4 linked regions of the Arabidopsis thaliana genome follow. The protein of the gene in region 2 interacts with the protein of the main gene of each other region in a pairwise test. Each region holds a gene or a part of one and is shown on either strand. Other genes may lie near its edges. The genes, in order: CUC2, MYB112, CRF11 and WRKY38.

Region 1 (6,463 bases), on a different chromosome or scaffold from region 2:
ACAACCCTTATTTTTACCTCTTTATGTAGCTAAAGCAGTATTTCTGCAATTTTGAAAATAGTATAGGACACTCAAATGCTTAATTTTATATATTCATTTGAAAGTGTACATGTATGTGTGTTTAAAAAAAAATCGTTGGCACATCATTTGAATGCAATTGATTTATATGCGAAATTTTGATTTAGATTTAGTTGGCATAATTTTTCTTTTCCTCTTCACAAACTTTCCAGCTGTTTTAATCACATGATAATTGTTGGGCGTAATCGGTGTGGGCGTAATGACGTACAAAATCAGACATTTGTTTTTGGGGCAAAAAATCAGACATCTTTTAGAAAAGCAAGTAAAATTTAAATGTTGTAGTTATTGAAGCTGATAATAATAATAAAATATAGTAACTTTTGGTTTAAGATTTTTATTTTTTAAGTCAGGCCAGCTGAATTTTCTGCTTTTTTATATATACATAGTGTGATAAAATTAGTCAGTTCTTATCATCACTTAGCTGTTCTTTTGTGTAAATAGCTGGGTTTTTTCTTATATATATATATATATATATGTTGGTCAATGTTTTTTGAACCAATACCATTTGCCTTAGTTTGTTTTGTGATTGCAAATGTAACCAATGAAACCCAAAATAATAAGCATACAAATGTGTACATATATTCCTTTAGCTAAAACATCATGAAATTTTGCCATTTAGCAAGACGTATATGTGAGTCTGTGAATTTGTCTTATGACTAGGTAGTATAGGTTGGTGATGCAACAAGAGCAATAATTGATGATGGTAATGATGATGATGATGATGATGGTTGTGTTACACACATACATATATCATACTCCTACTAGTATACACACGTGAAATGAAAACACATATATAATGGTAATAAACAGAGGTATTATTAATTATGTCTCTTTCTAAAAATAGAAATGTGAAAGCCATCCTTCTGAAAGTGAGGTGGACTGTTGTACAAGATCTGAATTTGGGAGTGGTCCGTTCGTCAGCATGCGCATCATATTCATCATCCCCGTTTCAAAATCCTTAATTTCAAAACTACTTCTTTTCTTTGGTGGGTTTACAATGCATTAAGTTAATCAAAATTAGTATGTAAATTATTTTCAGTAACTACCATGTACATGCATGTTATCTTAATCAATTAAGCCAAACGCAAATTGTTGTGTTTAGTCTCATATGTGTACGATTGTAGCAAGAAGATACACCTAACTGAAAATGGTGTTCATAGACTGATTAATCCACTGAATTATGAGTACTTACTTTAAAAGCATGAAACTTTCTTGAAATATTTTGGCAGTTACACATGTCAACCTTAATTAGCTAGAATTAATAAACAAAAACTACATGCATGTTTTACATTTGAGCATCTTCAATTGATGAAGAAATTAAATAATTAGCCATGTTATGTAATTACGGAAATCATCTAACCGAAGATTCGGAACGGTTGAATTCCGGAAACATATATATAACCGCCATATCAAATTGTATTAACAAGAAGAAAACTAAGGTATCTAGAAGCGACCGAAGAAATTCATTTTGTCGGTAATATACTGTATGATTGTATTGATAACCAAGGACACATGTCAAATATCATGAGAAATATAAAACATGAAAAAGCCATGAAATTAACATAATGTCAAACATTACAAAAACGAGCATAGCTTATACATATGCACGTTCATAGTCTAGAAAACATTTTCCTTGCATATTACCTCCTAATTAACACAACCGGATAAACTTAAAACTAGAGAATTAAGCGGAACATCAAGCTAAGTGCAATATTAAGCTCCTCGGTACACACATTTCATAATACCATAATCATCCTAGAAATACATAAATAAAACCCTAACGGGAACAATTATAAGTCACCTCTTTTGTGATCAGTAGTTCCAAATACAGTCAAGTCCAGCATGAAGCACACCGACCTTTGACTCATTCTCTTCGGCAGTCGCCGGTAGCCAGTAATTCATCCCGGAGACGCCTCCGCCGCCTTGGAAAGAAGGCAGATTAACGGCGGAGGTCATAGTCGATGCAGAAGACGATCCAAAGTAAGGAAATTGATTGAAGTTTTCTTGGAACGATCTGAAGTTAGATTGAGTCGAGACGTTTCTAGAAACGAAACGAGGAAAAGGGTCAAAGTCAAACCCTAGCGGCGGTGGAAGACGGCTGAATGAGTTAACGTCTAAGCCCAAGGCCGTAGTAGTAGTAGGGACAGTGGAGAAACAGGACACGTGCTCGGTTATTGCGCTGGCTGTGACGGTTGTGTTGGTGCTACGGCTGTCGTAGGAGCAACTGCTGTCGGTGTAGCCGAGGGTAGTGGTCGGATCCAGGAGAGGTGGGAGTGAGACGGAGGAAGGAGAGCTTGGTTGTTCTTGATAGTTTCTTGAGATTGTTGAGGGTACTTTCGTCTTTTTAGATGGACCAGTACCGCTGCTTACGCTCACAGTTGCTCCTCCTCCTCCTCCTCCTTCGGAGACGGCTCCGGTGCTAGCTAAAGTGGTTTTCTGGAAAACCCTAGAGATCACCCATTCATCCTGAAGGAATAAATTAGAGTTTTGAAAAGTCAAATATTTTATATAATATATGTTTGATGAGAAAGTCAATGTTAGATCTTGGAAATAAAAGAGAGTGAAGATTAAGAAAAACCATAGAGTAAAAGCGTGCACAGAGGGAATGTACATTGGACACTACAAGTCTACAATGGATATGGAACACTAATTAAGTAAAATTAATTTAATTAAATTTCTTTTTAATATATCTAGGTCAGAAAAAAATCCTGAAGATTTGCATTGGTTCTGGTTTTTTGCATTAAGCTTTCCAAAAGTAGGATGTATTAATATTTTATTTTATCAGAGCTATTGAATGTTTTCTTACTTTAGGAAAACACCATTATGATTGAAATCCCAATACATAAAAACAGCAGATCTTTTCTATTTCATGTTCCATAATGCTCTCAGATAACCACAGTAAAGAACCATGCCTTTTCAGCCATCAAAATTAAATGCAATAAAGCAAAAGAGAAAAAAATCAACGTCACCGACTATGTCACACTCTCGAATTTTTTTTCCAAATAATAGATTGTAAATTTATTAATCAAAGAAAATTAAGGCTTTACTTTATCAACAAAATAACTAATGAAAGGTTAAATCGAAGTACCTTGGAGCTTCTTGAGATGAAATGGTAAGAGAATTTGCCTTCAAGACGATATTCATGCATAACCCAATTACTCTTCTCTCCTTTCGGAGCTCTTCCTTTGTAAAAGACAAGAGTCTTCTTCATCCCAACAAGTGCACAAGTCTTTGAACTAAAGATCTCTCTGTCTTTTCCGGTAGCTTTCCAGTAACCAGCCTCAGTTGCTCTGTTAGTTCTCAGTCCCGTCGGATACTTCCGGTCACGGAGGCTAAAGAAGTACCATTCTTTCTCTCCCATCTTAGCTCTCCCTAAGTAACATTGAGAGTAAAGATTTCAGAAACCTTAATTACAAAAGAACTACAAGTAAGTTAGTTTTGTATTTTCTTACCGGGAAGTTGCCAAGGCTCACACTTGTTGAGATCAACTTCTGCGATGGCACGGCTTGAGAAGCAACCGTCGAGGACTTTGCGGAGAAGGTAATGAGTGATGAGCTCTTCGTCCGTGGGATGAAACCTGAAACCCGGTGGAAGATATTGGCTGTCTCCGCCATGGTCGTAGTGGTAATACGGAATGTCCATTAAGAAGAAAGATCTAAAGCTTTTGTTTGAGAGAGAAAAAACCCTAAGGAGACTCAAATGTTTTGAAGAAGAAGATAAATAGGTTAATATAATGGATGGTTCTTGAGTAAGGGGCGTGGTAATAATGTGGATGGATATTATTTTTTGGTTTTATTAGTTTATTTTTTTTATACATTGGGATTTGGTAAATCTAAAACGGCGAAATAGAGGGAAGCTTTTTTTTTGGGGTAGTGAAAGTAAAATAATTATTAAAAGATTAAAAACCAGAAAGTCGTAGAGAAGATAATTATAAATTTAGTAATAATAAAAAGACAGGTACGTCTACTCTTTCATAGGAATCTGTGGTTTTCTCTGCCTTGTCTTGTAGTAAAGAGAGCAAAGCCAAAGCAGATTATTACATCACATTTTTGAGTTTATCGATATATTTTTTACATAACTCGAGATTGTTTTAAAATTACAAAATTAAAATTAATCATGAAGTGTCCGTATTTCTTTGAATTAAATTATTAAAGAAACGAGGAATGGGCTCTTGTTTCTATCTGAGTATGCGTGCGTGCATGAGAAAAAGTGCAGTGGTATTCTCTGTCAGTGATGAAAATAAAAGAGAGGATTCAGATTGTATCTTTTTTTTTATCTACGAACTTGAAATTTCTTTTTATTATTGTGTTTGGAAATTGGGATACATAATAATTTATTATACGTACAATGACTAATCGAAACAATAGTAGTATAGTGAGGGATACATTATTAGACATATACACTAGTTATTTGGAAAGTGAAGAGTTTCAATTTTTATTTTTAATAGAAAAATGGATATTATATCGATAAGGCTGTTTCAAATCTTGGAGTGTCAGCACAGTACATGATTAATTTATCAAAAACTTTGACAGAGACTTCGTTACTACACGCCACCACCTTCTACACCTTTCACCTCTCTTTTTTTTTTCCTTGATTTTCTTTTCGTTTTTGTTTCATCTTTTCCATTTTCCAATTTTTTACTCCTGTGATGGATTTTTAGTTACTTTTCATTGCTTCATATTCATTTGTAAGACTCAGCAAAAGAAAATTAAATTTCATTATTTTCAAGCAACGAGATTTATGATGTAAGATTGAAAAATAATTTAATCAAGAAGTTACAGGTTGCAAATCAGAGAAGATATTTATGCTGCCTGGTTTTGTAGTTTTCTTAATTACTATCTCAAGTCTGTTTTTTCTCCTTTTTTATATAAATTAATTATGGCTCATCAAATAACTAATTATCAATTATGTTGATTGTTACAGGTCCACCAAAATGACATGACTAAACGTAAATTTCACAATTGTTAATTTATTTCTGTTACTTCCAATATTTTGATTATTATCTCATACAAATTATTTATTTTAGTGGAACTTCAATTTTAGCCCTATTTGACATGACTTGTTTTTTAAAATTTCCCACCCAAAAATGTACTAAAGAATAAACTAAAGAATAAAAGACACACCCAAAAATGTAAAGACCTTAAGATCAAACTAAAAAGATAGTGAGTTGATCAATTTCTACTAATAAATTAACTACAGACTTATTGACTATTTTAACCGTATGAAAAAATTGTATAAACTTAAATCAAAATAACTCTCCCCTTCGAGTATTCATATCTACGGACTTATCATGTGTGTAACTATTAGTTAAAAAAAAGAAGATGTTATAAAGTATGCAAAGTAATAATTATACATTAAAAATCATTATCAGAGACATGCTAAGACTATTACACCTGCTACTACTGTTTAATAGTAGTATTTATTACTATCTAGAAATTGTAGGTCTATCTATACGTCTTTTTAGACATATCTGCATATGACAGTAACTAAATCTAATTAATAAGATCCTTTCCTGTCTTAATTACAGATAGTTGAAGTAAAAGATTATCACCAAGCTATGAACCGAAGCAATAACATTATATAATTGTAATTACTTGAATTTATGAAGTTTTGAATACATTCTAGTGTGCCAAAGTGTTAATTGTCTTAAACTGAAAACAATGGCCAAACAGATTACAATGTTGATATTGACCTTGCCAAATTTTAGAAATTTGCTTTACTTTATCTTAATTTAAACATATATTTTTCACGGTTAATTTGTTTGTTTGCTTAGCATTTTTTTCATAACGAGAAAAATATTCTTATGACTTTAAATATCTAATATCCGTACTTTTTCAAGGTTAAAATGCACACTCCCTACTTTCTATCACCTTCATTCCATTTATGCTATATTTTTGACACTTTAAATACCACATTTATCCCCTTTTGATTAATTAACACAATAGTAGAGTGTTTGATATTCTATATACATATCATCCTCTTTATTTTATTTTTCAATTTCTTTTCCAAATTGTTTATATTTTTCTATTGATCTGAAATTTATGGCTGCTTTCGAACACCAAAATGGATTTGTTTTTCTCTACAGAAAAACATATGTCCTACCATAAAATTCGTTGTTGTTTTATCAATCATTTATTACAAAACTTTTATTTATTTTCTAAAATGTTTGGTAATACCGCATATCATCTTTTTTTAATAACTGCAAAAAGCAAATGAACAAATGCCAATAATAAACTATTTGACGTAAGAGAACCCAATAAAATAAATAATGATAGCATTATAAATGCAGGAGGTTAACACAGTATTAAGAAACAGTAGATATTCCCTTGTGACCTACTCACTTGAGTAAACTAATAGCCCAATCTATGTTTAATTTCTTTTTGTG
Region 2 (6,748 bases):
CTCATTATATTTTGCATTCTGTTTTTTTATTGGTTGAATTTATTTTACTTAGCTATGTTTTACATAAAGAAAAATACTAGACAAAAAATTGATATGTTTTCTTAATTTGTATGTAAAAATCTTAAATTTCACTTAAAAAAATGACACAGAAAAGATATACAACAGATGTAGCAAACCAAATTAGTTAGTAGTCGATATAAATGAATTTAGTTTGAGGATCGACAAAGTCCACCACTTCAGTCAATTACCAAAACAGAAACCGGATAAATGATAAATCGATGTTAGTAACCAATAATCGAAGAAACGAGAGCCACTATAAAAAAAGATACTCCTATTTTCTAGAGGATGCTAAAGAAATAAAAAAGAAAAGACACGTGACAGATGGAGCGTACATGTGTCGAACTGGGACCACTTTCGGGTTGCTTCTCATGCGCCACCTTCTCTCGGATTCCCATTACAGCCGCCATTGCCACTTCTCTCTTTCCCGGCCTTCTAAAAGCAACAAGCGCACGTGTTAAATGTTCACACGTGTCCTTATCTTTTCTCGTAGATATCTAAATTATTATCTAAAATTAACAATCTGTTCTCAACAATCAACATACAACAATCAACGTCAATATATAATATAGTTATCAAAGCCAAAATCAATGATTCTATAATCCAACAAAGCAAAGATATTCGTGTGTGAAAGGCCAGTATTCCATTTACAAAATTGTAATGCCAATTCATTCCTTTTTTCACTCCAATTCAATTACTATTGTTCTGCTTTTTTCTTATAAAGAGAATATTGAAAAGATAAGTTTAGAATAAAAATCGACCATGCATTGTTTGATATTTTTGGATTGTTTCCATTTAGTCTATAGACGTGTTCGATGATTAATTTAATATATTCTAACAAATAAAACAATTAATACTTTGATTATAAAATAGGGTTCGGGTGAATCTGTGATCCTCCTTACTCGACGTAGTGGAAAAAAACACTGAGAAATAATTTATTTAAAAGTTTAACTAGAGTAACTTATTTGGGTTCGTCCCCTCTGGACGTATATAATCTCGATAAAGTGTTACATGAGTTGGAGTAACTAATAGTATCTTAATCATGATTAGGAATTGGAGACATCATTCACGTCCTTTTCTTTTAGTTAAACTATTAATGATTATACAAACTAAATTAATATGTGATTTTAAATGAAACTAACGATATTATTGGTTAGCCAAACAAGAAAATATAGGCCCTACAAACTAGAAATTTCCAAAACAATAATAGCACCACAAACTACATAACCGATTTAGAGAATTCAACATGTATGTAACTAAAGTTTTTTTTTTATTTTTAAAAAATGATATTTGAGACGACGAAATTTTACTTGCATATTTTTAAGAGTTGATACCATCTTTAAGTGCTCTAAGCAATATGTCTCATTGTCTCGAGCATGCAAGATTTCATGAACACTTCAACTCTGAGTTTAGATGAGAGGGCCAAATCCAAATTAATAATTTATTTAGAGTAAAATAATTATTTGATGTTCACTTCATATACACATCATGCATCAATCTCTATTTCAACCCATTAGTTAAATAAGTATGTAATGAATTTCTTTGGGATATGTTATCAAATACTCATAATGTTTTTAATAATGCGGTGATATTATAAAACTTAATTGATGATCATATATGGTAGATTATAAGTGATCGTATGGGAGTTATTAAATGAACCAGGAACCACATAAACTTTTTGCTAAACTCATGTTGTTGTTTTTCTCTTCTTTGCTCTTATAGTCTTATCTAAATCATGCTTCTGTGTAACAATATATATGTTTTTGATATTATTAATTAAGCAGTTTTTTTTTTGTTTTGTAAAATCATACATCACAATAAAATTAAACCAATAAAAAAATGGAAAAAAACCCGGAAAACCTTTAATTTTGTTTTGAATGATTAGTTTATGTTTATTATACATTACATTCATTAATAAACCCATGAAATGCCTACTGTATGAGCCACTTGTTGAGCTCGTCAAAACTACACAAAGTTTCAAACGTATCTCCGCCGTTGAACCAATAACCACCATTTGTCATATGATCCAACGTTCCAAATTCCACCTGATCACCACCGTAGAAACTCGATCTCACAGCCTCAGACGACGACGTTGATGACGTGGCGGTGGCGACGCTGGAGTTCTCAGGCGAGTAGTGGTTAGAGGTAAATTGGACACTTTGAGTGGCGGCGATTCTCTCGATGAGACGAGGCATCCAGAGATGTTTGATGGTGTCTTTGAATTGCTTGCTGTTCACGTCACATTTTAGAAGTTTTGCATGCTTTTGAACACGTGTTCTCCAATAATTCTTTATCTCGTTATCTGTTCTTCCCGGTAAATGTTGAGCAATCTTTGACCACCTTCACAATAGAAAAAATATCAAAACTAACTCCATTATTAAAAACACGATTAATTTTATAGAACATCGTAATTAAACTCTCATTCCGTTTTTTATTAGAATCATTTATACATACAAAAAATATATTAAATTTCTAATATACTTTTTGTACGTATATTAATTGTTTTTGTTAAAACCGACTCTTGCTAAAAATATTATTTATAATGAATCGGAGGGTTTAATTATTTATAAGTTCTATTGTAGTACTAGATTAATCAGTTTTTTTAGTGTTACTCTGATAAAAAAAGACGTTGATGTGTACCTTAATTTCAACTATGATACAAGTTTCATATAGTAACCACAATTCAACCAAGAAATTTCAAATACGCATCAAATTGATTTTGTCAATTATCTACTAATACAATATTGAATAACGAGTTATTTATTTCATAGAGACGTTCCAAATTTGCTCTCTTCAACGATATGTGTCCCTTTTTCTATTTTAAGTAATGTATCGACAATATGACTATGTCTATGTCGATATAAATAAAGGTTTCATACCGATTTCCCCAACGAGAATGGAGTTCAAGGATGATAAATTGTTCTTGAAGGGATATGTCTCCACGGCGGATATCCGGCCGGAGATAATTTAGCCACCGCAATCTGCAACTTTTCCCCGTTCTATTCAGTCCTGTCTCAATAGTAAATGATTTCAATATAAATACAATTAGTATAAAAACATGAATTAACTGGAATGTACACTAGTCAATAGTATATGGACACTAGTACAATTTCCCAAATCAATAAAGATAACAATTCCATGAGGCTGTATGGAATTGGATGGTTGGGAAAGGTGTTTGAGTTCCACACTCAAAAGGCTAATATGAAAAGAACTCCAAAGGAAAAAATAAATAAATTTGGACCGACCAAACTGTTTCATACGAAAGTACACTTTTAATGATAATAATGAACTATGAATATGTCAACTTGTTCTTTCTTACTTTACCAATTCTACAGAGGAATTTAAATTATGCCGACATGGAGAAGTCACAGCCATAAGAAAAGTATTCTCATAGTTACGAAAAATCACATTCATATATGTATATCACTCACATATGATGTGATAGAAATTGAATAACATATTGATAAGATGTGGACGAGTTTTTATATCTACTCCATTTAATTTCAGTTAGTTATAAATAAACTCTAAACTAAACTTCACATGATCATATTAAAATCCACAAAATCCAAAACGAATTTCTAATAAGAAAAAAAAAAGTTTCAGTCTAAATGTTTAAAAAACAAAAACGGACTACTTGTTTGACATATAAAGAATCCTTCAATACCAAACTTTAACCATTCAAATCAATGATAGTTTAACAATCACTCTAGAGATATGATATGGGCATATAAGGATTTGTTATGATGACTTCAATTGATCTGAATCGATCGATTTACGCATTACATATTATATATCATGCATGATCACATATTCTGTATATATATATGCAAAAGGCTTAAGAAGTTACCAGCAGAACGAGAGAGGGAGTTCCATCTTCCTTCACCGTGAAGAGAAATGTAACTGACGAGCTTCATGTCTTCTTCCACAGTCCATGGACCTCTCCTTATTTCTATTTCCATCTTTTTCTCGACTTCTTCGACTTCTTCTTTATGATTTATAAGGGTTTTACAGTTTGCGAATTCTGTTCTACTTATATTCATGCTTTGAGATTCTTAGAAACTTGTGAGAAGATTGCTCTGAGAAAGATTTTAATTAATGAGGGAGAGAGTTCTCGGAATGGACATAAAGTGATCGAGTTTTCAGGGTGGGTTTTATAGATTTTTTTTTGTTTTGTTTTGTATATATTATAAATAAATACCAAGCATTTGAAATCGGCATGTTAATAGATAAATTATTACCCGAAGATATTAGTGGAATTTTCGCAAAATAATAATTTCTAAGTAATAGTATAAGAGTTCTTAGTTTCTCCTTAAGCACATGCTATAGTTAAGAGTTGGATAAGCTATCAAGTAAGTAAAAGTAACCGAAGAAGTAATTTAAATTAACATCATTTATTTATCGATATAATTTAGTTGATGCAACAAACCCTTTTTTCTGTAGTATATAATTTTGTTTAGTTTTGATTCAGGTTTCCTTTTATTAAACCAAACTAGAATTTAACCCTCAATATAACACGGGACAATTTTGTTTTCACATAATCTTAACTAAATTAGTGTAATTCTACATATTTAATATTAGTGATGTTAATCAAATAATAAAATGAGAATTTCACCGTATTATAATGTCGGTTAATGATACTTTTAATTTTTTTAATGTCGATTTAAACTCATTTTTCATATACCCAGTCTCAAAATATAACATGTACTGCGTTATTTTAGACTTTTATATATATTCATTTTATTTTAAACTTTATACTGAGTTTAAATATATCAATTATAATATTTCAAAACTTTCAAAGCTTAAAATTTACTATATCCAGTAAAATTAAACAGTTCAATTAAAAACAGAATTAAACCATATACAAACTTTTAAATTTAGATACTTGTTAAGTTAAACTTCTTGTTTATTTAGATTTAGATTTATTTATAACATGACTCTTAATCATTTTCTAAACATTTTAGCCCATGTGAAATTGAGACGTTGAACACACTTTTTTATTATTTAAGTAATATATATGTCTAATTCTAAAATTTTGAATCAGAATATAGGTAGAAAATAGTTTATTATTAACTTTATATGATGATTCAAAACAAATAGAAAACAAAATCAAACAAAGATGATTGCGAATCATTATTTTAATTCTTAACACAATCTTTTAATATGTATTACTAATTTTGGAACATTATATGTATATTTCAAATTTTATAGTTAATGTTAAAAACAATCAATTGATTTGGTTATACGGATAATAAAAATTAATAGTAAAGTTATTTGAATACATGAATATAAGTAATGACATTCTCTGTTAATATTTATCAAAATAAAGGTGTTTTTTAAAGTATACTTCAAAAATAATACTCCCCCTATTCTTTATTAATTGATTTTTAGAGAAACAAAATTGTTTCAAAAAGATTGATTTTTTAGGTTTCTATGCACTATTTATTAGTTATTATTGATGAATTTTAAACTTCAAGACAAATAATTGAATATCATTAGTTTAGAATTATTAAAAAATTAAATCACAAAAATTAAATCAATATGTTTACTTAATCTGTGATTGTTTCTAGAAAATCAATAAAAAGGGACAAAAGGAGTAATTTTTAGTCATGATTTCAATTTGATGCAATTTTGGTTTAATTTATTTTGACTTACGGTTTAGATTCGGTTTGGTTTTGATAAAAAAAGTTAGAACATATATAAATACAGATTGATGAAAGAAACTAGTTAAATTTTTTGAAGTTACTAACTTTTTTGGGTTTTCTTTAGTTTCGGAACTCTTGGTTACTTTTTTTTAATGGTTTTAGCTATAAATTTTAGTTTTTTTAATTAGAAATAGAAAAGGATTACAAAACAAAAAAAAGACTCAAGAGAATGTAACAATATAAAAATGCTTTGATAGCATGAAAGCAAGATGCAGCGAACCTCAAAACTCTAAATCGAGTAAAGCTTAACCTAACCCATGTCTCTAACCATAAACTCATTAAAGCCGAATCAGAGTTCTACAAAATGTAAAATCTCGATGAAACTAGTTTTAGATCAAACCATTTTTGCCAAACTTTACACTAGGTCAAAAGTTTTCCAAAAAAAAAAAACAAAAAAAGTTTTAACACCATTATACGTAGTTAAAAAAAAAAGAGAAAACAAAATTGCATTACCTATGATTGATATGTTATTAGTGGAGTATTTGCCATGGTTTTATCGTTTTTGATAGTTTTCTTTGCCATACCTTTTGCCATGTTATACAGTTTTGACAAAATAATGAAAAGGAAATTTGTTTTTTTTTTCTTTAATCCATAAAACAATATATCGATTTATAATATTTTATTATGTTTAGGTAATATTTTAGAAATAACCAAAACTATGGCCGACAGATTTTCATATTAGAAATCTTCTTTTAAAATTGTGGACTAGATATAACACTTGACAAATCGTCTTTACATGTGTCTTCATCGGTTATCGCTGCTGAGACTCTTAACATTTAAGGTGACATTGTCCTTTGTTGCCAAAGCTTTGAGGGCGGCATCAAAATTGGTAAGTGCAATAATAGAAAGTTCTGAATATTCGGTATAATTTTTTATGAATGAGGATCAGTCGTGCTTTTAACGAGTGATTTGAATTGCATGCTTATGTTTAAGAAATTTCGTGACGCATAGTTGATCAAAAACTTTGTTACACCAAGAAGATTAAGTTT
Region 3 (6,524 bases), on a different chromosome or scaffold from region 2:
AATATCCTTTAGCTAATTTAAAAATATAGTTCTGACCTATTCCACAAAATTCTCTTTATTTTTCAGTTAAGCAAATCTTTAAATATTTTGACGTCGAAACGTATTCTAGTTTATCTTATCAGGAGTGAGGGAATCAAAAACAACCATGCATCTCGATGGAAATCTCTCCTATGTATCCCTCACGTCTTAAAAAATTACGGATTATTGTTAACACGAGTAAATTAAAGGATTCATCAACATATGTAATCCTTGAATAATATGTAATCAACTAATAAAAAAATATTAGCTTATAATGTTACTGAACCCACAAACTAAAAACTCATCTTTCTGCACATTTTTTAACCGGAAACTACAGAATGAATAATTATTTTTTTACAATCTAATATTTTCAAATAAATTTTGTTATTAAGTTTCATAAAAATAGATCACATACGGTCTATATTTTTTAAAAAGTTTCTAATTATAATAAAAATGAGTTTGGATATATTTTAAAAACTTATGTATAATATCATTTTGATAATTTCACTTTCATATATTGTCAACCAATCAATATTTTCTCACTAATCTATATCAACCATGTTTTAACTACTCAATAACAACCGTTGTATAATCGTTGATATTTGTGAATTATGTGACTCTAATTGATTAAAACTATATAGCCTTAAGTCTTTTGTTGTACAAGCTAGGCCATTGATTGTTGGTCTTGACTCTTGACTCTTGAGTCTTGACCATGACTTATCTATAAAAGAGTGTAAAATCTGATTATTATTGTAATTGTTAACTTGCTGTACAGATTTACAACGTATGATAGCGTTATGGTCTCACTAGCCCAACAAAAATTATTAATTTGTAATGTGGGCTCTCCGTTTACGTGCATTGGGCCTTTCAGTAACATAGAAAGCCAGAAAGCCTATTTGTTATTATTATTCGATTTTTTCTTTCAAGTTTCAACATCTTGGATCATTTTTTTGGTGCAACATATTTTTTTTCCATCAAATGGTGCAACATATTTAGTTGTATAATGGACGTGTTTAAGATTCTTCATAAGATGCTAAATATTACCAAATGACTAATCCAGAATAACTATGTAATTGATTGCTTGATCGTAAGTAAACCCCTTTGTCCAAAAAAAAACCATGGAAGTAAACCCAATTTTTATTTCAGATCATTAGAAATCACTAATTTCCACGTTTTTGATAAAAAAAAAGCTCCATCGAATGAGAATGACACTTGATAAAAAACCAAATTGTATACATCGACTTCGAGCATGTCAAATCTCCAATCTCCAAAGAAAAGTACAAGTCTTAAAATCTCAAATCAATTATTCTTAAGACTTCAATTTATTTTCTGTCAACATCTTAAGAATTCAATTAACAAAAAAACAAAAACATCTTAGAATTCATTTTAATTTGTTGAAAAAACAAAAACAAAATGAATATGCACGTTCAATTCAATGTATATCCATAATTCTGTTCACTAAAACGAAACTAATAAAATCCAAAAGCAGCTACAGTCTGAAGTTGAGAGATGGCTTGACACAAAAGAACACACCACTATATACTCTTTATATCAAAGATGGAACTAGTTGAAAATTTTGGCAAGACTTGTAATATACGCAAAGGTTGCTTTAAGAAAATTAGATCAAATATTAAATATTATAAAAGAAATGGTTTAAGAACCAACGCAATTAGAGCGGTGATAATTTGTCCTACTGTTATCATCAACCAAACCCATTAACCTCTCTATCTTGCATTATGTGTTTTTGTTCACATAACTTTTAAAGAAAACTTTACTGATATAATGCAAAAAGAGGATAAGCCTAAACCCTAACTCTATAGGTAGTGATTGCAGAGAACAAACGGTTTATCTAGTTATCTTCATGTCTGACTGAATCAACCCGAAAGAAACAGCAATCAAACATTGGTAACAATGACTTAACAAGAGCAGAGGACGAAACCATCAACAATGTATGTAGCACAAAACAAATAAAGTAGGTCTCACATATGTATCAATAACTCAACAGGCAAAACTTACAAAGATTGAGAGAGCTTACGAATTAGAAAACATCTAAAGGCTTTTCAAAGACAATCCTCATATAGAAAAAAACCCTAAATGAGAAACAATTGCCTTCAAAAAAAACCACCTGAGATTTACAATTTCGATCACACCTCTCTATCTTCTCCACAACATCAAAACCATTATGTCAACAAAACTTTCTTTAGTAACACCAACACACAAAACTGCATCTGCTTCTATCTTTAGGGTTTTTGCTTCCCTTGAGATTAACTGCCTCTGCTATACTTTAATAACTTAAGACAAAACCGAGTAACAACGAGCTTTTTACGTTGCTCCTATAGCTAATAATAACACCTAGCTGCAAAACTTATGGGCACGCGATATTAAGAGGAGTGGGAGTAGTTGTTGCGATATGATCAACGAAAGCATACTTGTCAATGGTGGTTCCAATGAGACCAAGATCGATCTCCACATCTGAGAAATCATAGTCTGGAAGTTCGCTTGGACCGTCACATTCAAGACCAATGATGTCCAGATCATCTATGCCACAGTAATCATCCAACATTTGGTTGTTGTTCTCTTCTGTTAAGAGAAAATCAAGCTCACAAGCATTTGGGATGAATGAGTCATCAATGAAGCAACCCATTTCAGGAATCTGTAGATCTGCAAAGTCGAAATCAAAACTCGCTTTCTTCGATTCACCAGCTTGTTGATCAAGAGTCGAATCAACTAGCTTCTTGTCAAGATCAATGCTTGACCCTGAGGCTGAGATCATAGAACCAGACTCATTTGACAAAACAGAGGAAGCAGCAGAAGTGGCTGCAGCCAGAGCATCAAACTCAAGCTTCTTGGTAGCATAAGCATCAGCTGCTTGTTCAAGCGTCTCGTAAGTACCCAACCAAGTTCTTACTTTGGTGATTGGATGTCTAATCTCAGCAGCCCATTTACCCCATTTCCTCTGCCTAACACCAACAGGCTTCGAGACAGTAGTAGAAGAACGTCCAACGACCGGAGATGCTTTGCTGCGTAAAACCTTTTTGCTACAAGCTGAGATTTTAGTCTTGCTTACACCATTATTGTTACTCTCCTGACAATATGAGCTTTCAGATTCTGCTTGAGTAGCAGCTTGAGCGAAAGGAAGATCGATCTCACAGACATAACGTTTCCTTCTCTGACTCCTTTCTTCTTCTTCGCTTGATGAGTAGTCAGTAGCGTAAGGATCATTCACAACGAAACGGAGTTTTCTCATAGTCTTCAAATCTTCAGATAAACCTGGGAGGTGATTTAGCTGAAAAGGTTTCTTCTTCATGGGTTTTTTGTTGGGTTTATTGGTTTGAATAGAAGAGCGTTTCTTTCGTTCAGCCATTTTATCGAACACTTGGTGTGCGAAATTCAAAACCAAACCCCCTTAAACCCTAAAAAACCTCTCAAAATTCCCAGAAAAGCCTCAAAATGAACTCTCTCAAGAACAAGAAAAGTCCTTTACCCCAGAACAAGTCCTGTTTCAATAACCAGCAAAAACACAACAACCCACTTCAGATTCGAACAGAGAAACTATAAAAACCATTCAAAGTAACAAACTTTAGCAAACCCAGTTACCTTTTAGGTCTTAAACGCATGGAAATCGATGAAACTGTGAGAAATCAATCACTGAGAGAGCTAGTAGATGTAGCTTGATGAACGAGAAAAACAGAGCAGAAAGCGATTAAGAAGACGAAGAAGGAAGAAGAAGAGAGAGAAGCGTAGAGTCAAAGACAGAGCTCCGGTTAAACAAATTATTCCGGCGACTTCAAAGATCCTTTTCTCTCTCACACTCCTCTCAGCTCTTCGAGCTTCCCAAAAGTGAAAAAGAAAAGTGAGAAGATAAAAGATTCAAAAAGAGGAAGAAGAAGAAGAAGAAGAAGATAAAGTAAAGAATCAAAACGAATCGAAAACAGATGACAAATCTATGGCCAAGATTTTTCTGCCTCTCTATTACCAAAGACAAAACTTTTAATTTATGTCGGAAAAATAAAAGAAAGTTATGTAACTGGTAAATTTAAGAGACCGAGGAATTTAAAAAGATGTTAAAAATCTTTTAAGAAACGATTGTTCAAACACAGATCTCAATAAAAATTTATTAAAGCATTAAAAGAAAGAAAAAAAACGAAGATGGGAAATTAAATTCGTTTTTTATTAGCATTTGGTTTTTTTTTTTTGGACAGTTTTATTTCATTTTTTCGGTTAAGATTGGTGAAAATAGTTTTACAATAGGGATAAGGAAAATGTTTTTTAAATTATCACTTTATCATTTTCGTTGGTTTAAAGTATGAATTTTGGATCTTGTGAATTAAATTCTTAATTTGATGTTGATTTTCAATTTAATTACAAATTCTCGTTGACTAAGCCAATTGAGACACAATTTTTTTTCCCGGTATCGTCAATCGACCTAAAGATGAAAGATTACTTTGAATTCGAATAAGAAGAGAAATTCCAAAGAAGATAAGAGATTCTGAAGAAAAATAGAGAAAAACTCAAAAATTTTAATTAGAAAATTTTTTAACGATGTGTCTTAATTGGCTTAGTTAACGAGAATTCGTGATTAAATTAAACGTCAACATAAAATTGAGGATTTAAATCACCAAATCGAGAGTTTATGTTTTAAACCAACGAAAATGGTAAAGTGATGATTTAAATGACATTTTTCCCTTTTACAATATGGTAATAAAACATACTATTTTTGGAATTATATTATGGATATATGGTAAATAAATTTAGTTTGTGAAAGGAATAATACTTTGTATCGAACAAGTTATTATTGTATTGTAATACATTATTCATGAAATTTACTTCTCACTGTTACTGCACTGTGGGTCTTTTAGCTAAGTGAAGTAATAGAATTTTATTTTATTAATAGTATTAAACTACAATAACATATATATTCGTTTTTTAATTAAAAATAAATAAAAGAGAGTGACTAGTAACTACTCCTTCATTGTTTAGTGAATTATTCATATTATTTGATGTGATGTATACTTGTATTCTATAGTAATTTAACTCATTCTCCCAAATTGACTCTTAAACAAAAACATCAATTATAGATTCTGATAATTTTTTCGGCATTCAACAAAAATATCTTACAAAAGATCGACGAGTATAATTCAATACCATTAATTAACATAACAATTTGTGAGGTTAATTAATTACATTAGAGGTAGTTTACTTTGCAGTATCTTGATTGTGCTAAAGAAGAACAATTTCGAACGTGGAGGATTGTTCCATCCCCACATTTGCTAGTTGCTACCAACCGAGGGACTTTTCATCATAATTTACAAGTCTTCTTCCCATCTTTAGTGGGTATAAATAAATACAATTTTTTTTTTTTTTTTTTTTGTGCACCAAATAAATACAATGTTAATGAGAATAATTCACAACTCAAAACGTTTTTGAATAACTCTGTTTTATTTTTTCCACACTCAAGCATTTCATGAAGTCAATGGTCTCTTTTTGGGTCAACTAAGTCAGTGCTTAAGTTAAGTTACTCTGTAATATTCCGTAACATAACATGATCATGATCACTCTAATAACTTGCAAAATCATTTAAGTTCGGTCCGATTTGAACCGATCAATTTAAACTTGTATTTTAGAGGTTAAGCTCATCCATTATTTGATATCTTACACCATGAACGAACATTTGGTTAACCTAAAGAACACAAAATAAAATAAAAATTTCTAACATTTTTTGCTCGATTCTATTTGGTTTCGGTCCTAATAGTTTTGAAACAACTTAAAACAGGTCGCTTCCAGATTAATCCAAAAAGTTAACATCTCTAGATTAAAATTTATATATCAACTTCAAATTTTATGATTTTTTTGTAAGGTTCATTACGATTCGATCGATTAAAAATTTAAAACATTTTTTACTAAAGAAATACCAAAAAAATATTGAAAGTGTCATTTTCTTTCAATTCCATAAAACGAAAGGAACTCCTAATTTCCAAAATTTTGTTTATTCCACAGCTTTTTTAACATATCGCTCGCATTGCCACATTGGTCCAGACCTACTCCCCTTTTTATTTACAAGATTGCCACTTTAAAGAGTTGGATAATTAATTTAGTTTAAACTAAACATTTTTCTGCAACAATATAGTAGGAAAACAAAAAGCTAGAAGAAAAAAGAAAACAGTGAACGCACGCCTGAATGCATGTGATTGCCTACCCTACGTGAAGAAAAGACGATGCAATTACAGAAGTAAGAAAAACATTTTCTCCACCAATATACAATGACCCTTACTAATTATTACTATTTCAACAAAACGTTTCCTACGTAAGGAAGGCAACAGATTCATTTGATGTCATTTTTCAACGACAATAGACAAAAAAAAAGTAAAGCAATAATAAAGTAAAGTTGTACACTACATATATACTTTTTAAAAATTGTTGAAACACAAAATGTGTGCAAATTTATAACAGTGTATACAAAATGGATGTTCAACTACGTCAAAGACTATTCATGAAGAAAAACGGTC
Region 4 (5,898 bases), on a different chromosome or scaffold from region 2:
ATGTCTTCGTCTTCAAGAGTTGATCGGGTGGCCGTTCCGACCTACTGTACTGTCATGATACGAGGTATATTTTTGTTATATATAAAAACAACGATAACCTTTAGAAGTCATTAAAAGAACAATGACTAATAGGTCTTTATTTTGTTGGGCTTACTTAATTTTGAGTTGTGACAACTATACTTTCCAGCCCATTTGTTTTTTCATTAGAAAAATGTTTTGCTACTTTGCATTTTACAAACCCACAATGAAAAAGAAGGTAGCTGGATCATGTGTTTTTTTTTCTACAAGTCTGTTGAAAGGTGGTTCAAGGAAACCGTAGTCCACTAACTATCCTTAGTTAGTTTTGAGTTCACTCAACCTGAGTCTTCATTTGCAAAAATTGACTATCAATAACCGACTCCGATTATAACAAAGTTCAAGCATTTCAAATGGCCTTATTGAAAGGGCGAAACAATTTCCTGTCATCCTGGTCTAATAAAATCCTTAATTATATAACCAAAAAGCGATATATTGTCTCAATGTTGTTGCTAATTATTTTCTTTCTAGGATGTAGCCTGTCCTTTTGTATAGATAAATGTGGTTAAGAAATTTAAGTTGGGGAGGTCATCTATTAGTTAAGTAGGAAAAATGTAAGATCACGAGCAAGCACGATGGATCTTTTTTTTCCTTATTTGGAAAAATCAGGACGTCAAAAGTATATATTTGACTAAAGCTGGAAGCACGAATCCAAAGATAAATATCTTGAATTGAAAAGTCCTGAAGAAGTTAATATAAAGATAAGTTTTAAAGTTCTGTAGGATTATTGAAAATGGGGAATTTTGTTGAAGTCGTCGTCAGATTAAAGAAGACATGGAAGCTACGTTCCAACTACTTGGTTTAATTAGCTAATAAATAAAATTATTAAAAAAATGTATCACCATTATTGTCATGTAAGTCATGTTCACATTCACTTTCCTTTCGCACCATAAAATAATGTGACTTGACCCATAGCTTTGCTTGACTTGTACATATGTGACCCCTTACTCAATATAGTACTAATACCTATACAATATTTAACAATTTGCTAATAACAAGAACAAAATACATGTGGGCAACGTTTCACAGATCAGATCAAAGTCACGTGCGAAAGTTTATATATATATATATATATATATATATATATATATATATCTCTTATGTGTTGATATCTATCAATTTACATTAACCACCCGCAGAAGAAGATAGGGTTGTTAAATTGATGGGTAGATAGAACTTAACATTCTTTACAAACTTTGTAATTTGTTGTATAGTTTCATGAATGGTGTTAATTCATGGCCTGAAAATACCATCGATGTATACAATCTGATAAGGATAAATTGTTTTGGATTGACCATCTATTAGTTTTAAAATATGATTGTATAACTTGGATTGGTTAGCTTTCAGATTATACTATATATTCAAAACAAGCTTTTGTACGTATATTATATCATTTTATCCGCTTAAAATGTAATTACTAATTTTTCTTTCATATAAGATTCAAGTTTACCTAAAGAAAAAGGATTCAAGATTACCAGTTATCTTTTGCAAAGCTTATTAATTATAAATTCTTAAAATTTTAGATTAAATTAAAATATGGACCGAGTAGCCAACGAATGAATCTCACATCACGGCATAGTTGACTAGTTGTTGTTAGTATATAATATAATCAACATTGCTGCTTCGTTCTGACGTCAATCTGCTGAATCAGCCCCTTCAACAAAAACTACGTCATGGGGCTGACGTCGAGTGTCCGACGAAACTAATGCCGTTTTCATTGGTGCATTAGTCGCCACTCGCCAGCTACATCGCAATTATTTCTCTCTTTAAGCGTTGAAAAATTGTCTAGATCTTACTTGTTAATGTTATTCTATTACCTAATAATTATCTTTTGTCTGGTCTAAATACTTACATTTTTATTTAAAATCTGAACCAAAACTCACCAAAAAATTAGATAATTTTACCATTAAAGATATCCACGACTAGTGGAGTATTTTCATTACAAAAAAATGAATTGATCATATCATATGTGTTCGAAGCTTATTATATTGAGCAAAAAAACATTATTTGTACACGTTTCATCTTTGATGAGGTAAACATTGCGATGGACGTGTAAAATATGTTATACTTTTTTTTTTTGTGAACATCCAATCTATTACATACATTTGTTTTTTTTTGTCATATGAACGTAAAATATATTATTTTCAAAACTCTATATTATTAGTTACCGTATAAATTATAATTAAAACCACCTATCAAAATATTAAATAAAAAATATTTAACGATATACAATCAACAAAATTAAGCAAACAAATTTATTCTTAAATTTCATCTGCTATATATTTTCAAAAAAAAAATAAAAAAAATTGCGACACATATTGAAATGGAAAGATTACAAAAGAAAATTTTAAAATCATTGCTAATTTGGGGTTTATCATAGCTCATATCTCTCTCTAATATATCTGACTTTGTAGAACACAGTTTTCTATTAGATTCCTCCTATCTTGAAACCTTTTAGTGTTCTGAAAGGAGTAGTTTTTAATTTTTAATCTTTAATTATTAAGCGAACCGCGTAGATTAGTGTAATAAGAGAAACAGATAAATTCTGAAACAATTAAAAACAGATTGTATATAATTAAGTGAGCCGCGTACTGGGAAAGGTATATAAAATAAACTCTGTTTCCTATACATCATGACAGATCATATGCTAATGTCAACACCTAATCTATCTTTTTGTCTCTCTTTATTTAGATTCACGCATATAAGTCTAGCAGAGCACATGTCCTATATCGAAATTATAATTTATCATTGGCTTCTTAAAATATAACCTAGTGTATGTAAATTATATTTGGTAAACCCAAATTGGCAAAGTCATTTGGGAACGTGTATGTACGACTAGTCCTATAAATTCTGATCTCCCTATCCGTTCAAAAGTTTATAGCACAGAGAAGAGACTTGAGAAAAAGAAAACAAACAAGAAACACATACACACACACACAAGTTCACTATACTCTATGGAAATGAACTCCCCACACGAAAAGGCGGTGCAAGCTATCCGTTATGGCCATAGCTGCGCCATGCGGTTGAAGAGGCGGCTCAACCATCCAATGGCTGATGGTGGACCGCTTTCAAGTTATGATCTTGCTAAATCGATCGTTGAAAGTTTTTCCAATGCCATTTCAATCTTATCTGCTAAACCAGAAACCGAAGATGATCAGTTTTCTGATTTATCTTCTAGGGATTCTTCTCCTCCTCCACAGGGGAGCCCCTCCAAGAAAAGGTATACACTTATGAGTTTGTTTTCTTTTTTGAGTTTGTTTTTGTTTTTCCAAATGAAACCACAATTCTTAATATAAGTATTTTTTTTCTTAGGAGTATATGTTGATTTTAATGCTAATATTTTGATAATACTCATGTTTGCAGAAAGATTGATAGTACAAATTCAAGTGAGAATTGGAGGGACGATTCACCGGATCCGATTTACTACGACGGGTATCTTTGGAGGAAATATGGTCAAAAGAGTATAAAAAAATCTAATCACCAAAGGTAAGAAATAGTATAGCTAATCATATTTCATCATAATTATTTCTATCCCGATCACTCATACTAATTGGTGTATGATGATGGTAACAGGAGTTACTATAGATGTTCTTACAACAAAGATCATAACTGCGAAGCAAGAAAGCATGAACAAAAGATCAAAGACAATCCTCCGGTTTACCGAACCACTTACTTTGGCCACCACACTTGCAAAACCGAACATAATCTAGATGCCATTTTTATTGCCGGACAAGATCCCCTAGATGACTTTAAAAGTACCCAAATGATCCGATTCGGAAAAGATCAGGATCAGGAGAAGGAAAGCCGCTCGAACGGTTTCTCCTTATCGGTTAAGCATGAAGAAGATATCATCAAAGAGCAAGCTATAGATCAGTACCGTGAGATAACCAGTAATGACCAAGATTGTCAAGATGTTATAGAAGAATATCTATCATCACCATCAGGCTCTTATCCTCCTTCATCGTCATCTGGCAGTGAAAGTGCTGACTTTAATTCTGATTTGTTATTTGACAACCCAGACTCGTGGGATCGTTATGATCAGTTTTACTTTTGATTGCACTAGATTTTTCAGCTAAAACTATTTAATAATGTTTTCCTTTTTATGAGATTGTATATATTTGAGAATTGTGACTATTTAAGTATTTATGTTATTGATTAGATAATCCGAGAACAATATTTATATTCACCCCTAAGAGTTTATTTCCGGCCAATAAAACTCTATCATCTAATAAATAAATTAAAAATTCATTTGATTATAAAATATAAATTTCAACCACTTTTTGTGTAAACCTAAATCGATCTATAATCTCGTTTAATTATAAAATCTAAACTCTCATTCATCTTTAAAAGCTCAAAACCGACATTTTAACCTTGTTTAATTGTAAAATATAAATTCTAACCATTCTTTCTAATCCCAAACTCACATTTAACCTCGTTTAATTGTAAAATCTAAATATGTTTATAAACCAAACCCAACATTTAATTTGACCTCGTTTATTTACAAACTAAACCATAATTCTCCTTTACAAACTCATACCAACATTTAACCTCGTTTAGTTTTAACGTCTATAATCCTAACCATTTTTTCTAAACCCAAATTGATATATTTAACCTCGTTTAAAAATGTAAAATGTAAACCTTTTTATAAACTCATACCAACAATTAACCTCATCTAGTTGAAAAAAATCTAAACTCGTTTATAAACTCAAACCTATATTTTATCTTGTTTAATTATTAAATTTTAATCTTAACTATTTTCTTATAAACTCAAACTAATATATAACTGTTTTTGGTGGCAAATTAATTTTTATAATTTAATATTTTTAATTAAGTGGTATATTATGATTAGCAAAATAAAATAGGGTGAATAACAAAGTTTAAATTCCTGAGGGTGAACCGGATTTGAACCGAAGTATTTTTCATATTTGGAGCAGAAGTAGAATATGTAAAACCGGATTTGTTTGAGAAAATGTAATATTTACAAGGGTTTGATTTTTCTTGCTATTGGCCGAAGCACACACATCTTCTTGCGTTCGGTCTATTCAAAATGATTAATAGAAAATGAAGCTTGACACATTGAAAGGATAAAGAAACTAGAAAACATTATATGCTAATTATGAAACGATTTGCTTGATACCAAAAAAGAAACGATTTGCTTAAAAACATAGAATCTTACATAAATGAATAGATTACATACACCATTACGTCAACTCGTGATGTTCTGCCTCGAAGGTCATGTTTAATTTTGATGAGTGGAACTATTTGTGGAAGTCTATTTTGTATATTTTTAACCTTTTCACACATGCATTAAACGTGTATAAAATCATAATATTTTTATACGTAGATTCTATTTATGAAAGTAATTACAAGGACTGTTTAAGCAAGCCTGAAGCCTCTATAGCTTATAGATATTTTTACTGATAAACAATATAAGTTTAACTCTTTAGGTGAATAAGCTAAGCTAATGATGACAAAACTGAAATTACATTATGTTTCAAGTCTGTTTTTGGATTATATAAAACGACATTATTTACAAATGATATTCTACGAGCATGAGACCACCTATTGATGACGTCAATATTCTTTATGTAACCTAAGAACATTTCCATTGCATTATTTTTATAAGTGTCTTAACATAATTTTTAAAAAGAAATATCAATATTGAAAAGTAATTTTCTAGGATAAGGTGAGACAGTATGTCAAAAATGTATTCTTTAAAACACTTTTGTTGGGTTTATTGTTATTTTTAAGACACCCTTAATATAATACTAGCATTTTATAATATAAAATTACGTTAATACACTCGTAATTATTTGCTCTATA

What was found.
Region 1: the proteins of MYB112 (region 2) and CUC2 interact in a two-hybrid assay, tested with the Arabidopsis thaliana proteins (one large-scale study listed by BioGRID).
Region 3: the proteins of MYB112 (region 2) and CRF11 interact in a two-hybrid assay, tested with the Arabidopsis thaliana proteins (one large-scale study listed by BioGRID).
Region 4: the proteins of MYB112 (region 2) and WRKY38 interact in a two-hybrid assay, tested with the Arabidopsis thaliana proteins (one large-scale study listed by BioGRID).

What each region holds. Positions count from the first base shown.
Region 1 is NC_003076.8:21,900,076-21,906,538, forward strand, and holds CUC2 (NAC (No Apical Meristem) domain transcriptional regulator superfamily protein), read right to left. Parts: upstream 3,780-6,463; 5' UTR 3,721-3,779; coding exon 3,531-3,720; intron 3,451-3,530; coding exon 3,167-3,450; intron 2,545-3,166; coding exon 1,891-2,544; 3' UTR 1,629-1,890; downstream 1-1,628.
Region 2 is NC_003070.9:17,702,281-17,709,028, forward strand, and holds MYB112 (myb domain protein 112), read right to left. Parts: upstream 4,181-6,748; 5' UTR 4,098-4,180; coding exon 3,905-4,097; intron 3,067-3,904; coding exon 2,937-3,066; intron 2,398-2,936; coding exon 1,989-2,397; 3' UTR 1,852-1,988; downstream 1-1,851.
Region 3 is NC_003074.8:9,472,910-9,479,433, reverse strand, and holds CRF11 (Integrase-type DNA-binding superfamily protein), read right to left. Parts: upstream 4,023-6,524; 5' UTR 3,616-4,022; exon of another isoform or gene 3,516-3,615; 5' UTR 3,383-3,515; coding exon 2,384-3,382; 3' UTR 1,844-2,383; downstream 1-1,843.
Region 4 is NC_003076.8:7,493,839-7,499,736, reverse strand, and holds WRKY38 (WRKY DNA-binding protein 38), read left to right. Parts: upstream 1-2,746; 5' UTR 2,747-3,029; coding exon 3,030-3,295; intron 3,296-3,438; coding exon 3,439-3,561; intron 3,562-3,648; coding exon 3,649-4,129; 3' UTR 4,130-4,282; downstream 4,283-5,898. UniProt on the Arabidopsis thaliana protein: Transcription factor. Interacts specifically with the W box (5'-(T)TGAC[CT]-3'), a frequently occurring elicitor-responsive cis-acting element.